2 linked regions of the Kluyveromyces lactis genome follow. The protein of the gene in region 1 purifies or fractionates together with the protein of each later gene. This does not show direct contact. Links are inferred from orthologs where the notes say so. Each region holds a gene or a part of one and is shown on either strand. Other genes may lie near its edges.

The links. Proteins that work in one complex are often made in the same cells at the same time.
Region 2: the proteins of MET30 (region 1) and CDC53 purify together in Schizosaccharomyces pombe (affinity purification with western blotting; 3 studies listed by BioGRID, with this or other methods). This does not show direct contact. The link is inferred for Kluyveromyces lactis from reciprocal best matches to the Schizosaccharomyces pombe genes pof1 and cul1.

Annotation. Positions count from the first base shown.
Region 1 is NC_006042.1:2,545,211-2,549,236, forward strand, and holds MET30 (ubiquitin-binding SDF ubiquitin ligase complex subunit MET30), read left to right. Parts: upstream 1-1,322; coding exon 1,323-3,194; downstream 3,195-4,026. Other genes in the region: HIS1 (ATP phosphoribosyltransferase), read left to right, coding at 1-201. UniProt on the Schizosaccharomyces pombe protein: Probably recognizes and binds to some phosphorylated proteins and promotes their ubiquitination and degradation. Required for the inactivation of zip1 via ubiquitination.
Region 2 is NC_006042.1:536,232-540,789, forward strand, and holds CDC53 (cullin CDC53), read left to right. Parts: upstream 1-1,689; coding exon 1,690-4,128; downstream 4,129-4,558. Other genes in the region: SRF1 (phospholipase D regulator), read left to right, coding at 1-874. UniProt on the Schizosaccharomyces pombe protein: Core component of multiple cullin-RING-based SCF (SKP1-CUL1-F-box protein) E3 ubiquitin-protein ligase complexes, which mediate the ubiquitination of target proteins.

The sequences.
Region 1 (4,026 bases):
GCTCCTGAGAACAAATTACCTGAACTTTTAAAAATTACTCCAGGAAGGAGAGCACCAACCATCTCTCAAATCAACGACAGTGGATGGGTAGCGGTTTCATCCATGATCGAAAGGAAAAACAAAGGTGATATTATGGATGACTTGAAAAAAAACGGTGCAGAAGATATCATGGTATTCGAAATTTCTAACTGTCGTGTCTAAAATGATTAGCACTTTTCCTCACCATAATTATATATATAAAATCTTATGCATGGGCACCTTATTGTATCCTTGTGTATAATGTAAGTTAATATAGATAAATTGATACAGCAAAAATTGTGACAATAGCAATATATTGCATGTTGTAGACAATATTTGAAGTCAGCATAGTAGGTATTTGACTCCTGCCTTTCAGCCCTGCATGATCGAACCAGTGTCCGTTCTTACTGATTGTCTTCGATTCTGTCTCTGTCGTTGTGGCAATTTTGATCACGTGAATGAACGAGAAAAATCCAGATAGCTTACCTCACCAGAGACACCGCTGGAAAGAACCAGAGATGAACACAGAAAAGCGCATAATGACCGAATGCACAGTAGCAGGTTACACTATACATATATAATGACTGATTTTCAAGGGAAAATGTGCCATGTTATATTCTTGGCTTTTAGTCAGATCAAAACATGGAATATCCTTGTAATAAGCCAGATAACCTGTAAAGTGTGGCTTACCTACCCTAGCAGTACAAACATATCTTTTTTTCCCATAAAGATAGTAAGAACGGATTTTAGCTAGTACTGAAATTTAGCGCAGAGAAAAAAAGTAAAAATATCGAAACTTAAACAAAACTCTTGACTGACAAAGGACTTCTTCAAAAGGAAAAACACTGCCAAAGTAAGACTTCTTAATCCTTAAAGGGGCGTCTCACTTCCCGATCTACCAATAGTTTGTTTGATTTATATAAAGCATCATATTTGTTGTATTAAGCGGTTTGGAAATTTTCAGAACAAACGAAAGATCAGCAGCGGAGAGAGCTCAGATAGGGAAGAACAACAAGTTTCGGTAAAGAAAGGTACTAGTGCTCATCATTGGTGGTGTTCTTATAGAATTTTCCTGTGAATCAAGGAAAGGAATTATATCCTTGTGGATAAGAGACATAAACGAAGGGTTTTGCAGTACTGCATCACTTTGATCACTGGTTCTGGTATATTTACAAAAGTTTGAGGAACAGAATAAACATTTTGGAAAGAGAACGCTAGGGAAGTTGTTTTGAGTCAATATACCCCATCATTTTATCTCATCAATATATTCAAATATACCATACGAGTTACGATCGTATTTCAAAATGGAGTTTAACCTTCAACAGACATGCAGACCGGATTTAAAGCGTAAGTTCGAAGATGTAGATTCGAATGGAGTGTCAGATCAACGACAGGATACTGATGGGAAGGGGGAAATTCTACGAAACAAAGCTTCCAAGGTCAATCAAAACAATGAGGAAATACAGCTTCCGAGTGAAATGCCTCAGTTCAATTTCTTTAAATTCTGCTACCGTCATAATCCAGATATTCAACACACTTGTAAGGATTCGATGGTTTTCCAAGATCAGGTACGGTCGGAGAAGTGGATGGAGAAAATGAAAGCTTTGGACAAGGAATCAGACCGAGCAATTATCAAACAAACGCTAGACAATTTCCAGCATAGCAATGATAAGATACGAAGATTAATGCTGGAAGGAATATTACAGCTTTGTTGTTTTCCCCAGCTATCTTATATTGCTGATGAGGTAAAACAATTGATTAAGATCGATTTCATTTCAACCTTACCAGAGGAACTTTCTTTGAAAATTTTAGGTTACCTTGACTGTCAGTCTCTTTGCATCGCCTCGCTAACATGTAAGAGGTGGAAAACACTAGCTGATGACGATAGGGTATGGTACCATATGTGCGAACAGCATATTGATAGAAAATGTCCAAACTGTGGATGGGGTCTACCCTTACTCCATATGAAGAGGGCAAGATACTTACCTGTAAATGAAGCACATGTCCATAATCAAAACGGCAATCAATTCCAAAATGTTGCAAACGGCAACGGGAATGAAATTGGAGGCGGAAAGTCACTAATCAATCCTGGCAACTCTCCCAACCAAACTGTTGCCGCTAGGGCTAGGAATAGCAGGTACTATACGAGACCCTGGAAAGTAATATATAGGGAACGGTTCCAAGTGGAATCCAATTGGAGAAATGGAAGATGTAGAATTCAGCTCTTCAAAGGCCATATGGATGGGGTATTGTCATTAAAGTTCAACCACAGACTGCTTTTCACTGGGTCATACGATTCAACGGTGGCTATATGGGACACAAAATCTGGTAATTTGATTAGAAGACTCACCGGGCACACGGATGGTGTGAAGGGTATTTATTTTGATGATCAGAAAATGATCACAGCTTCTTTAGACAAGACAATCAGAGTATGGAACTACATTACAGGGTCCTGTATATCAACTTATAGAGGCCACCAGGATTCTGTGCTATCGGTGGATTCATACAAAAAAATCATTGTGAGTGCTTCTGCTGATAAAACAGTTAAAGTGTGGCATGTTGAATCTAGGACTTGTTATACGTTGCGGGGCCATACGGAATGGGTCAACTGTGTTAAACTACATCCAAAAAGTTTCACTTGTTACAGTTCCAGTGACGACAAAACATTAAGAATGTGGGATATCCGTACTAATTCGTGTATTAAAGTTTTCAGAGGACATGTTGGTCAAGTGCAAAAAGTTATTCCATTAACGATCAAAGACACAGAAAATTTAGTGGTGGATGAAAAAATTGAAAAAGTACCCAACCCAGAGTTAGAAGAAGATTTTGCAGATGACTGTACAGGAATATTCGATCCGAATTTGAAATACCCTACACATTTGCTTTCATGTTCATTGGATAACACCATCAAACTCTGGGAAGTCAGTTCAGGTAGATGCATTAGAACTCAATTTGGACATGTTGAAGGTGTTTGGGATATCGCTGCTGATAACTTCAGAATTGTCAGTGGCTCTCACGATAAGAGCATCAAAGTTTGGGATCTTCAAAATGGTAAATGCATACAAACTTTTACAGGACACAAGGCTCCTATTGTATGTGTAGGAATTGGTGACAGTTCATTTGTTAGCGGAGACGAGCTGGGCGAAGTGAAAATGTGGCATTTTGATGATATTTGAGAGCCCTGTCGTAGAACCATTGGCATTGTTGCACCGATTACACTATAGCTAATGGTACAGAAGTGAAGGAACAATTGTGTTCAACATCTTCAAAACTAGCATAACTAAATACAAAAGTTTATATTGTAACTTATTTCTAGTCTCAACTGCTGCCTAAATACAGAGGCCACATAATGCCATTCTTTTTCGAACGAATACATTACTCAACGATCAGTTTCTGAAAGTTTTATCGTGCTCGGAACAATGTTTAAAATCAATGTACCTACCTGGCTTCATTAACCCCGAAACCATCAACGTTAAAAAGTCAAATGTCGAGCATGCGAAGTTGTGGAATTCGTCATTTAATTCGACCGTCGTATATGCGCGGAATCTAATTATAAGATCGCACCATAATGATTAAGATGATGAGCCTCGTTGAAACGTAACAGCGCACCGTTTTCTTCTTCGAAAGCCAAACTAACACATCTTCCATTTTTCATTGTCAACATGACCGTCTTTTGGTTTCCAGATTCTCACCAAACAGCTTAGAAAATATCGTAGTAGAGAAATGTGACTGGGAATCCTTGAAAAGAAAAGGAAAGGAAATAATAAGAAAAAAAGGGTTGTCACCATGAGCAGACGTTTTCATGCAAGGTATTAATGTTCCTCTGTTTTTAAGACTTCAATCATACATAAGTCGGGTGAGCCAGTGGTCGAACAGGTTTGTATTGGGTACTTGGTGTTTTATGACCTTCGAGTTAAGAATAAAAATAGTCTTGGTGTTTTCTACTCTGTGAGGTTTTGTTTTAAATTTTGTTGTTTTAACTTTTGATCGAAGATAAACCAGATATAT
Region 2 (4,558 bases), about 2.0 Mb from region 1:
TTATGATGAGGAAGTAGAAAGAGTCAGACAAGAAATCTTTCAAAATTTAGATGGAGATTGGGAAGGTGGGAAACGATTGGATGCTATCTTCAACGCTCCGATTCCTGAAAGCTACGAATTGAGTAATCAACGAGACAAGAATGAGTGGCTTAAATACGTTTCCCAACTCAAAGCTTTTTACTACTTGAATAAGGACTCTGCGAAACAATCTTCGGAAACTCATTCAAGTGACGATGGGAGGTTTCATTCTATTTTAAACAAGGGGAGAAATAGTGTGAATAGTAAGAAAAACTCTTGGGCTACCCTTGAACAAAGAAAAAAACAACAATGGTTACCAAGACTACGAAGACTTTTATTGCAAAGTCAATATCTACCTTTGTCGTTGAGATTTCTCATTGTGATACTCTGCATAATCTCTCTTGGCCTAGCAAGTAGAATATACCAGAACTCGGATTCCACTGTCGAATCCTTCGAATCATCAATACCTCAACAACCAAGTACTATCATGGCGCTATGTGTTAATTCCATCGCTATATTATATTTGGTTTATATCGGATATGACGAATTTTCAGGGAAACCGCTAGGAATTAGAGATCCTATGACTAAAGTCAGACTAATTATGCTGGACCTTTTATTCATCATATTTTCAAGTGCTAATTTATCGCTTACCTTCAATACATTATATGATAATCGATGGGTCTGCACATCTACTGGAACGTCACAAGTTGATCCTCCGCACGTAGGATATATATGTGACAAACAAAGGGCGCTCGCGGCGTTCCTTTTCTTGGTCTTGGTCACTTGGGTTGTAACGTTCAGTATTAGCATATTAAGGGTCGTGGAAAGAGTCAGTTCTGGTGCTCCAAGACCCTAAGACTATTCTTGAAACGGGCCCTTCCGACTTAAGACGCCTGTAGATTAATTGTTTTAAATAAATCATTATTCCATGAGAGTACATAATTTGTTTACAAACCCAACAAAAGAAAATCAAAAGTACCAAAGAAAACCTTATAAACATATAAGTTTGGGCCCTGTATTAAACAACATAATTAGACGACTGCAGTATGCTAAAGTATATTTGCCGAAAGCTGTAATCCTTACCCTCTTTTAAGTACTTTAATAATAAGATCAGATTCATATTGAGGAACAATTCAGGATTTTTTGATATTCCAATAATGTGTGGCAAACGAAAACAAAAATATAAGAAATTATAGTAACATAGTATGCAATTATATAAATCAGTATATAACAAGTAAGGCTGTCAAAAAGGGTCAAAATATCGAACAACTCGGAGATACTTCACGATAGAAGCAATATAAAGTTTTCCTGTGTGACCCTTTTTTATAGGATCCCGCCAACAAGTGGTGCATTTCATATTTAGCAGTGAAGGCGCTTTCTATTCTGTTTTATCCTTTCTTTCGATTCATTGAAAAGGGTTGCTCGACTAATTGGGACTCGAACTGTATTTTCTATCGCTGCTGATTTCAGTTTACTACCAAATCTTTATTTACAAGTACCGCTACCTGCGCCCTTGGGAATACTATTATTCTAAAGCGTATATTTAACTGGGTTAGTGGGAAGCAAGTCTCATTAACGCTTCAGAAAAGATAACTTAGGCATCGTTCAATAGAAATATTACTGGTAAAAGAAACTACACGTGCAATCAATAAGAAACAAGTCTAATAAGCTATGGCAGACACATTACCTAGATCAGATGATTTGGAAGCAACATGGAACTTTGTGAAGCCTGGGATCGACCAGATCTTGGATCGTGATGGTACATCGGATATAAAGACAAACAGAGTTCAGAAAGTTCTTTCCCCAAGGATGTACATGGAGGTATACACGGCGATTTATAATTACTGTGTCAACAAGTCACGTTCTACAGGTCATTTCCAATCTGATATTATAGGGAAGCAAATGAATCAATCTTCGATTCTTGTTGGAGGAGAAATCTATGAGAACTTAAAGAATTATTTGAAAGATTACATATCGAATTTAAAGAAAGATGATAATGTAACGTTTTTGAATTTCTACGTGAGACGCTGGGAAAGATTTACAATCGGAGCTATTTTCTTAAATCGGGTCTTCGACTATATGAACCGTTACTGGGTGCAAAAGGAAAGAAGCGATGGTAAAAGACACATTTTCGATGCACATACTTTGTGCTTGATGACGTGGAAAGAAGTTATGTTTGAAACACATAAGACGGAACTCGTTACTGAAATATTCGATCAATTGGATTTGCAGCGGAGGGGTGAATTAGTGAATAAATCTGCTATTACAATAGCAATAAAATCCTTTGTGATATTAGGTATCGATCCATCAGACTTAAAGAAGTTGAATTTGAATGTGTATATTCAAAACTTCGAACAGCCATTCCTACAGAAGACAAAAGAATACTACACGAAGATGTCCAACGAATTCTTAGACTCTCACAGTGTCTCTGAATACATCGAAAAGGCAAATGAATGCATAATCTTCGAAGAAAAGGACATGATTTTATATTTGGATTCCCATACATCGGCACCATTGTCTACAGCTTTGAACCAAGTTTTGATTGCTGATCATGCCGATAAGTTAAAAAAAGAGTTTATTTTACTTTTGGATAAGCAAGATCAAAGATTGATTAAGCTCATATACGAATTGATGAAACGCGATTACCGAATGTTACCAGATTTGGTGGATACTTTTGATATGTACATCAAGAGAGTCGGAAATGAAGAAATCGATAAATTAATTGATGCACATAATAAGAGTGCAGCACAAGATTCAAACGCTAAAAGGCAACCGGGATTATCACCTAGAGATTACTTGAAATGTTTAATAGGAGTTTACAAACTCTTTTACAATATCACCATAGAATGTTTTGAAAATCATCCTGCTTTTGCTAAGGCTTTAGACTATGGATGCCGTTGCTTCATTAACAATAACTCATTCGCTATTCCTCCTGGTTCACCTAAATTTGCGACTTCTAGAGCTCCTGAGATGTTGGCGAAATACAGTGACCAGTTGCTCAAAAAGTCGACCAAGAATAATGAACAGGTAGATTTGACCGTGGATGATATCATGACTGTCTTTAAGTTCTTGGCCGACAAGGATGCATTTGAGATGCATTACCGAAAAAATTTAGCAAAAAGATTAATTCATGGATCATCAAAATCAGAAGCTGATGAAGAAATCATTATCCAAAGACTACAGTCCGAGAACAGTCTTGAATACACCAGCAAGATTACCAAGATGCTACAAGATGTCAAATTATCTAAAAACTTGCATGATGAATTTTCCACGTTCATTTCACAAGATGGGAATAATACTACTAGCGCCGCAACTTTCAGAAGCAAAGTTCCTGAATTAGAACCTCTAATTCTTGCAGACAATGTATGGCCCTTCAGCTATCAACCAACAGAATTCGCATTACCACCAGTTCTTGAACATAGTAAGAACAAATTGGAAACCATGTATACTGACAAGCATTCTGGTAGAATATTGAAATGGCTATGGCCAATGTCTCGTGGTGAAATCAAGGCACATATTGGTAAACCAGGCAAACCACCATTCCAATTCACTGTGACTATTTTCCAAATGGCGATTCTTACCTTGTTTAATGATATATCTACGTTGACCTTTGAACAAATACAAGAGAGAACCAATTTGAAGGCTACACAGATTGCGTCTAATATGTATCCGTTTGTGAAGATGAAACTATTAATACAATCTCCAGAAGGGGTGGAAAGTATGATCAAGTTAGATACAAAGTACACCTTAAACAAACCCTATCGATTATCGAAAACTAGTGTTAATTTTGCAGCCGCTGTGAAAAATGATCTAACCTTTACTGCAACCGTTAATGGATCTGCATTAGATGAAACAGAGGCATCTGAGCAAAAGAAAGCAGAAAAGGAACTAAATCAACAAAGATTGATGTTCTTAAGAGCATGCATAGTGAGAATTATGAAGGCAAAGAGAAAACTACCACACAGTTCATTGATGAACGAGTGTATTGCCGAATCTCAACAGAGATTCAACGCCAAGGTGTCCATGATCAAAAAAGCTGTCGACAATCTAATAGAACAAGAGTATTTGAAAAGGACAGACGACGGTGAATGCTATGAATATCTAGCGTAAACGCTCACTTTTTTATCCACCTTTTACTTCGCCATACATATGTATAAGAAATGTATATGTATCAACATATATTTCGCAACCATTCGACCATTCGACCAAAGGTCAACCTTGGGCCCCATATTTTCAAGCATGAATATTCCCAAGAAAAAAAGAGAGACATCATGAAAGGACCGACGAGTATACTATTCATTACTCAATAGCCAAACCTAAATGCTTGGGTAGCCCTCTCTGCTCTCTTGCTGCTCTCACTACTCTCAGTGACTACCTTAGCATCATTCGGAAGGTGTTTGTCAATACCTGCTGCAAAAATCTACGTTCATCGGATTTAAAATCCACAGGAATATTCACGAAAATTGGTCATGATTAGACTTTAGCTCGAAATTGAGTGGGAATTTTACCATATTTCTTTTCATTGACCATATTTCAATTA